Linked DNA regions of Zea mays. The main gene of each other region encodes a partner of the protein of the gene in region 2 in a complex. Links are inferred from orthologs where the notes say so. Each region holds a gene or a part of one and is shown on either strand. Other genes may lie near its edges. The genes, in order: RecQ-mediated genome instability protein 1-like and DNA topoisomerase 3-alpha-like.

Region 1 (3,926 bases), on a different chromosome or scaffold from region 2:
GCCATTTAGTAAGCCAAAAGGCTAGAGAATTATTATGGCACAGATCTCAGTATTGTAGATGGGTTCAAAATTGGCGACACTTCTACACTATTGGGGTCACAGCAATCTGTTGGGCCACCTGGAAAATGAGAAACAAAGCCTGCTATAAGAATAAGTTCATTCGGAATCCTGCTGAAATCCTTTGTGAGCTCTTATGAATTAGTGGGAAGGTCTATATTCCAAGGAAGCTCGAGGAATGCTACTGGAAAGTGTGGATATTATGCTTCAGATAGCTACAAGGATGCTGGTGCAAAGCAGTTCGGTGCCGATGGAGATAGAAGAAACCCACAGGGATGCTGATGATCAAGCAAACTAGTAGAAGATCGTGTGTCGGCCAACCGTTGATCTTCTCTGGAAAGTTTTTTTGGTGTAAAGAGAACGATCTTGTGGACTACAATACTATCAGTCATAGTCGGATGTGGTAGCTTGATAGTTGGTGCCTTAGTAGAGTAATGGAGTTTGTTAGAACTGACTTTGAATTTCAATTCTGCTCATCTTGTATCTGTTGCTTCGTGCATCTTGTATCTGTTGCTTCGTGTAGCGTTGATTTGGTGGTAGCCTTAGCTTACAGATATAGGGCTTTATATCTGTGTTGGCACCTTTTTGGGGTCAAATGCCAACAAACTCTAAAGCCTCCATGCGGCGTGCAAGATCTTGAGGTTGGCTCTATAATGCGGTCTTGAACTCGACCTCTATTTCTGCTCTACGAGCCAGTGGTGTGCCGGACGGTCTGTGATAAGGCACCAGACCATCCACGGGTGGACGGCGAACCATCCGCGATGGCGCAGAGAGCTCTCAGGTTAAACTAGATCTCGTCTCCCGGGAGAGACCCCGTTGGGGAGGAGACTGTAGAGTTGTTTCGGGGTCGGCAGGCCACCCAAAGCGCCTCTAGACGATGTAGAGTCGAAGAGAGATGGAGATTGAGATTGGGGAACTACAACTAAAGCTACGCTATAGACCTAAGACATGAAGATAAATAAGGTAATTGGATTGTGTTCTGAATCGGTCATACCCCTTCATATATATAGTGTGGAGATCTGGACCCGTTCCTATGAGAGATCCAACAATTTCTCGTGAGATTGTTAGGATAACCACACACAAGATAAGGAATCTAAAAAAACTCGACCGATAGGGGAAAGACCGCCCCCACGGTATTAAATTAAGAAGAAGCTCAATTAGAGCCTCGACCGAGAAAGGTCACGAAAGCTGGCCCCTCATGCAACATGAGGGTCCGCCCCCTATTGACCAGATTTTTACTAGTGCTTTGAGCCCTCTCAGCCCCTACACAAGGATCCGCCTCCATAGGTCAGTCCATCTCGTGTGCACACGACCAGAGGAAGCAACGAGTGACATTTTTTAACCTCGGCCTGAAATTCGCCCCCACTAGGGTTCAAACTCAGGACCTAAGGAGTGCTACTCAGACCACCTAACCCACTCGTCAAGAGGCCCTTTCACTCAAGATAAGGACTCTATCCTGAATTAATCTATAATCGTGAACCGTTCAGGCTACTCCTGCGCACTGTCAAGGTCACAAGGCCAGACCGTCCATGTGCCAAATTTAGTGTCCAACACTCTGTTTTCTTTCTAATTATTTACTCGATTCAGAAGAAGAAGAAATAGTATGGCATAGGGTGAGGAACCGAGTGGAATGGACAGAGAACTGCTTTGAATTTCATCATAAATTTGAAGATGATTTAAGCATGTGAAGTTGATTCACCATTTTGATCACCAATGAGAAGCAATTTCATAGCAAGAACTTGAATATTGCTATAACACCTCGTTTTCTCGATCAATACATTCTACACCAATCAGAAGTATCCACAAATTTTTCGGGGATTTAATAATTAGTTAAATCACAATAGGAGCATAGAAACAGTATGGATCTCAAGTGTAAATAGCTCAGCAGGGCAAAGTAAGATGCCATTTTCACAAATTAGATTATGCAATGTCAAACCTGAAGCACGAAGGGGCCATCAAGGAACTCAGCGTGCATGCCCCCGACGCCCTCCGGCAGCACCCCAGCACCGCAAGAGTTCATATCGGCGAAGAGAAACTGCTCGAAGCACCGCCTGGCCTGCGCCTCAACACCACCGAGGCCGTCGAAGCCGGGAATCCCCGCAGCGCAGGACTCGAGCCAGTCCGGCCGCAGAAGCAACCCGAGCCGCCGCAGGAACTCGTCCACCGGGCGCAACCGGCCGCTCAGCGGGGACGGGTGCGGAGGCGCTATTGAGGCCGGGGTCCGCGCCGAAGGCGGAGTCGGGGTCGGGGTCCGCGCCGAAGGCGGAGTCGGGGTCGGGGTCCGTGCCGAAGGTGGAGTCGGGATTGGGGTCTGGGACGGGGTAGTGATAGGAGGGGGAGGGGAAGGGGGAGCGGGAGCGGGAGCATGGAGCGCGGGAGGAGCTGGCGGGGAGAAGACCTCAGGGGCGTCAACGATGGGAGAGTCCCCGTCAGGGTCCACGATCTCGTCGACGTCCTCGTCGTCATCGGAGATGACGAAGGGGGCAGAAGATAGCGAGAGTGACGGGAAGGGGACTGGTAGGGGGCTGAGGTTTTGGGGCGAGGGCCGGCCGACGCTTCCGCTGCCGCTTACGCCGCCGCTAGCGACGGAAGCTGAAACTGAGGCGGGGGTTGTGGCGGTGGTCATGCCCTCGCCGTCGTCCTCGTCGGAATCAGAATGCACAATTAGGTTCCGGCGCCTCATTTTTTGGGAAGGAAGTTTTTGGCGGTCGTTTCATATGGAAACCAAATGAGCGAAGGGTTTTGGGAGAATTTTTGGTGGTTTCCCTCCGAGGCTTCGAACCGTCGAACGTGGGGAGGTCGGAGGAGGACGCCGATAAGGAACTGAGAAATGAGGATGACGTGTAGGGTTAAGGGTTTAGGGTCGCTGGTTTCGGCTCAATTAGAGTACTAGTCGATAGAGCGCGCGTGTTATATTAGCTAGAGATATATACAAAGTCTTATATACCACTACAGTAGAACAATTAATTAGTATGATTATAGATTTATAAAAGGTTAAGGAGTAAATTTACATCCAAAAGGTTAAATAGTATCATTTTGATCTTTACTAATCGGTTGCTCGTACGTTGCGACGGCTTACAACAATATCCACGTAAACTATTCACCAAAAAAATCAAGATTTTTTATTGATTGTCTCTGCTCTCCGTATAATATTTTACTTAATTTGGCTAACTGATGTTATTGTTTACTCCATGCAATATGACATGTGACAACACGACCAATGAAGTGAGCGATTAGAAAAGAGTTCACAACGATTGACTGAACGAACAGAGATTATAAAATGACATAATTTCACCATACAAAAACCAAATAAGAGAGTTTGTGAGCTCAAGTTTCTAAAATAAGTCACATGAACTCAAACTTATAAAAAAATGGATCAAAATATGGAGTGATTGCTAAAGTCAGGGAGCAATAAAAACTGGATGCGCTCCATATAAATTATGCTACTACGTAGCAGTTACTGACGTTTAAAACAAACAAATAATCTTTCATTTTACTGTTAGTGTGACAAATCATTGTTGCTCCATCCAATTCATCAACCTCAAACATCATGGAGTCCATTGCGCCAATGTGGTATCAGAAACGACCTAATACTTGTAAGAGCCAAAAACGTCGTGTCGTGCTTGGGCTGTAGCCTGGGCCCGTAGTGCTGGTCCGGCCCGACACGATTATATTTTTTATTTTACAGAAAAATGTATATACATATATACAATTTATATTCAATATTAAAAACATCTGAGCATAATGTTCTATTGATTAGACAACTTCACCCAGTGTATCCCGCCCTTCTTCCATCAGGGTATGGGTTCAGACCCCACTGTCGGTGTTTGGGACCCGACCGCGCACCCAGGGTTACCCCTCGAGATGCT
Region 2 (3,826 bases):
GTGCGCAGATAGGACAAACTTGATTAGTTACAGCCGCTTCTGAAAGAGATCCTGGGAGCCATACCACGTTTCTACACTGAAAAATCAACACGGCTATTAATGTCAAACTCATTGCAGAAATTACCGTGTCAGTGACTTCAGTTCTACGTTCCATTTTCCAGCATAATAAGGTAATTTAGTTCTATCAAAATACCATGTTACTCACTTGTGGATAACTTCGGCACCCAACCATAAATTCACCACTCTGACAGAAAAGAAGAAAAGTTCAAGCATTTATATAGAGTAATGCCAATTTCTCTAGAAAAGAAAGAAAAGTGTCACTACGGAACAACTTACCGCCCTTCGCTTAAGCAACATTTCAGATCCATTGCATGCACCACAAGGCCTCACAACCTCTACTGGATTTTGAGTTTCATTTATAGGCCTATTAGACCTAGAAAATAAAAGGGCAAGTTCAAGGCAGGAATTCATACAAAGTAAAGAATGGCTTATGAATCCAATCAAACACCTTGCAAAGAATGTCCCCATTGCATCAAGGAGTTTTGCTTTCTTCACCCTTGCCTGTATAGCACCAATAACCACCATCGAATCAAATTACAGTATACAGATTCAGAAATGTGTATAATAAAATAGTCGCAATGTCATTGTTTTGTTTCTTTTGCGATGGTTTTAATATTACAATAGTATGTACATGTATCATGAAATACAAGAAATTTACAACTTACGTCAAGAAAACAGGCCTTCATCTGCTGCAAACAACTCTCAAGTACTTCTGATTTACTCTTAGTACCCACGCTAACTGATTTCATATCAGCTTCCATCATTGATCTTAAATAAGGCTTCCAAAGCTCATACCTAAAAAGTAGTGTTTGAGCAAAGCAACCAGATCATCCTTTATATATTCAGTAAGTGCAGCAACTTTAAGAGTCAACTCACCCCATTTCATCATAACCCATCACCAATGCCTCACCCTACATTTTTCCCAAAAAATCGTAAGTTTGTTTCATTATTAAAAAAGAAAAAGATTATGTTTCAAGAAGACAAATGAACTCAAAAGTTGGCAATATTACTCATGAATTGGAATAATTAATCTTATATAATGTGGAATAATCACGATCTTACTTCTAAGCCATAGGCTCTAGCTCATTGTTATTTGCGAATTCACAACAAAGTGGATCATCAGAAACTATATCAATGGAGGGGGGGGCAGAACAAACGTCATTATTAGATTAAAATGCAAGTATACCGTGGAAAGTATGCATCTCTTACATAAACAAAAAAATAAAAATTGCTTTTGGACATCAAATAGTAGAACTCTCATAAGGATAAGAGTACTTTCCGCACAAAAAAAGAGGATTTAATGGAGGCATACATGGCTCTAGTGATCTGGATACTATGCTACAGTATGCTAGCCAAAACAAGAATGCAGGTCTGTGTTTATTCTTTTTTAGCATAACTTTATTTTTTTCAAGAAGCAAGCATTCCATAGTGAAGACTGTAGATGAAAAAAAGATCAAATAAGATAGTTACATGGCATCTACATACAAGATTTGTCGGGGAGAAACGTGTGTTTTCATCTTTGGTTGCATAACAACGGTCAAGCAACTTTTTTATGTGATCATGCATGGTTGCATCAGTGCCAATTCCTGCCTGGAAATATAATAAGAAAATGTCAAATCTGCATGATTTTAAATTATGGATATGTAGATGCATTAAGTGGCACAATCCACCAATTCTGAATACGAAGTTATTGCCATAAAAAAATACAACGTGGGTTAAAAGAAGGATTTTTTTACTTTATCCATACAGCTAAGAAGGTCGGCTTCAGCCAGAAGAGGCGGTGGCCGAGTCACTCCAGAATCAAGTGTTAAAGTTGTCGGAACAAACTGCATGATTTTGAATTGATAGGTCAAGTTAGTTTTGTATTTGGTTAATAAAGGATACAAAAAGTTGGATATCAATGTCATCTCTAAGATAAATCAAGCAACTATGTTTCTCGAACGCGCACGAGGCGTCATTATATTAAGAAGAAAAATAGAGGTCCACAATAGACCCAACTAAGGCTATTTCCAGCAGCTGCCGTATCTGAGTTTGCATCGGCAATTTGCGCAATCAAAATACACTGTAGCACATCCAGTAGACTGTGTATGTGGCTACACATCATCCACGCTCCCTTCCTTCGTGCCACATATTCACGCGTTCTCTCTCCTGCTCGCATTCTGCTGGAGCACCGCTTCATTTTACGAGACGTGAATGGTTCGGCCTAATATTGAGTAACTCCATACATATTGCAACAAATTACACACGGCTGCACATATTGCATATTTTTAGATATACATCATTAGTAATATTAACTTATTAATACAGAGAAAGGGCCATATTTTCAATTCATATTATGAATTTATCTGCAGTCTTTAACCAGTTTTTGTTAACCGTCATGCACAATAAAATCTTAGTAAGAAAATGACTTAACCAAAAAAAATGTGCAGTGTGAAATATAACTACAGCAAACCTGCTGCCCAATGTTGTATGTTGGAAGTAACGTTCCACCCCATGAGTCAAAGCGGTAAACATCCAGATAATTTTTCTACAAGAAGAAAACATTTCTTTGAAAGAAGAACAATCGCCAGATCCAGGTGAAGCAACTAATGGAAGCATCCTATTATCAGTATGAATTTTCGTGATAATACATAAATAATATATGAAAGTGAAAAAAAGATGACTTGCTGAGGTTCCTTGGGTACAACAGTTTTTCCTGTATCCACGGTTAACTGGTTTACTAATGAACTTGTTAAATACTTCCTCTGTTCCAAATTATAAGTTATTCAGGCTTTTCTAGTTGCATAGCTTTTGCTATTCATCTAGTTATACACTATGTCTATACCTGAACAACTTATAATTTGGAAAGGAGAGAGTACATATTATTAAATACTACCAAATATAAGGAAGGAACAATCGTGAACTGATAGAGTGAATGCATTAACCAGTTCAACTCAAACCATTGTTATTAAAACTTCGCTTAAACGTCGTTTAAACGACAAACGTCCGGTCGTTTTAGCAAAAACGCGTAGAACGTCCGTTTATCACGTTTAAACTTCGCTTAAACGTCGTTTTCTCGTTTTCGGACATTCTAGGCGTGTTCAGAACGTTCTACGTGTTATTGGGCCTTTCACAGGCCAAAAAATACACAGGGCTGCCAGGCGTCCAGTGCTGACAGCCTCCCTCCTCTCCTCTCCTCTCCTCTCCTCTGCCTCCTCCTCCCTCTCCATCCTCCAACATTCCAGCGCTGCCAGGCCAGTGAAGCGCCACCCTCCCTAGTTTTAGACTTTCAATCATCAAGAGTTCCAGGTTCAGTCTTCCAGTTCAGACAGTGATGCCCTCCCTAGTTTCAGACTTTCAGTCATTAGGAGTTTATGGTTACTGATCATATATACAAGTTGTAACTTGTGTGGTTGAACTTGATCTGTTTCATTTTGTTTTGTGAACTCAAACTCAAGTACTTAACTTATGTATGAACATATTCTATAATTGAAATTTTATGTAATGTCTGAAAAGACGTTTCAACGTTCGTTCATAACGTTTTAACGTTTTACCGCTTTAATAACCATGACTTAAACACTTCAACACCCCCACTCACATGCAGCCACAAAGAAAGGTACAAACGTGGAAATAAAGGGGCAGAGGCACAAATAAAGCCTCTGCCAGGATTCAAACTCGAGACCTCTGACTCTGATACCATGTTAGAGTGGACACACTGACCAGTTTAACCTAAAAGCTTAAGCTATTAGGAAAATGTAGGTAATCCACTTATACACTTCAATATGAA

What was found.
Region 1: DNA topoisomerase 3-alpha-like (region 2) and RecQ-mediated genome instability protein 1-like share a complex: the UniProt entries of both Arabidopsis thaliana proteins name them as parts of the RMI complex. The link is inferred for Zea mays from reciprocal best matches to the Arabidopsis thaliana genes TOP3A and RMI1.

What each region holds. Positions count from the first base shown.
Region 1 is NC_050097.1:70,867,435-70,871,360, reverse strand, and holds the start of RecQ-mediated genome instability protein 1-like, read right to left. Parts: upstream 2,759-3,926; 5' UTR 2,741-2,758; coding exon 1,994-2,740; intron 1-1,993. UniProt on the Arabidopsis thaliana protein: Essential component of the RMI complex, a complex that plays an important role in the resolution step of homologous recombination, in a process called Holliday Junction dissolution, to limit DNA crossover formation in cells.
Region 2 is NC_050096.1:13,716,407-13,720,232, reverse strand, and holds part of DNA topoisomerase 3-alpha-like, read right to left. Parts: intron 2,588-3,826; coding exon 2,513-2,587; intron 1,887-2,512; coding exon 1,797-1,886; intron 1,651-1,796; coding exon 1,546-1,650; intron 972-1,545; coding exon 937-971; intron 856-936; coding exon 726-855; intron 562-725; coding exon 509-561; intron 434-508; coding exon 337-433; intron 245-336; coding exon 206-244; intron 77-205; coding exon 1-76. UniProt on the Arabidopsis thaliana protein: Releases the supercoiling and torsional tension of DNA introduced during the DNA replication and transcription by transiently cleaving and rejoining one strand of the DNA duplex.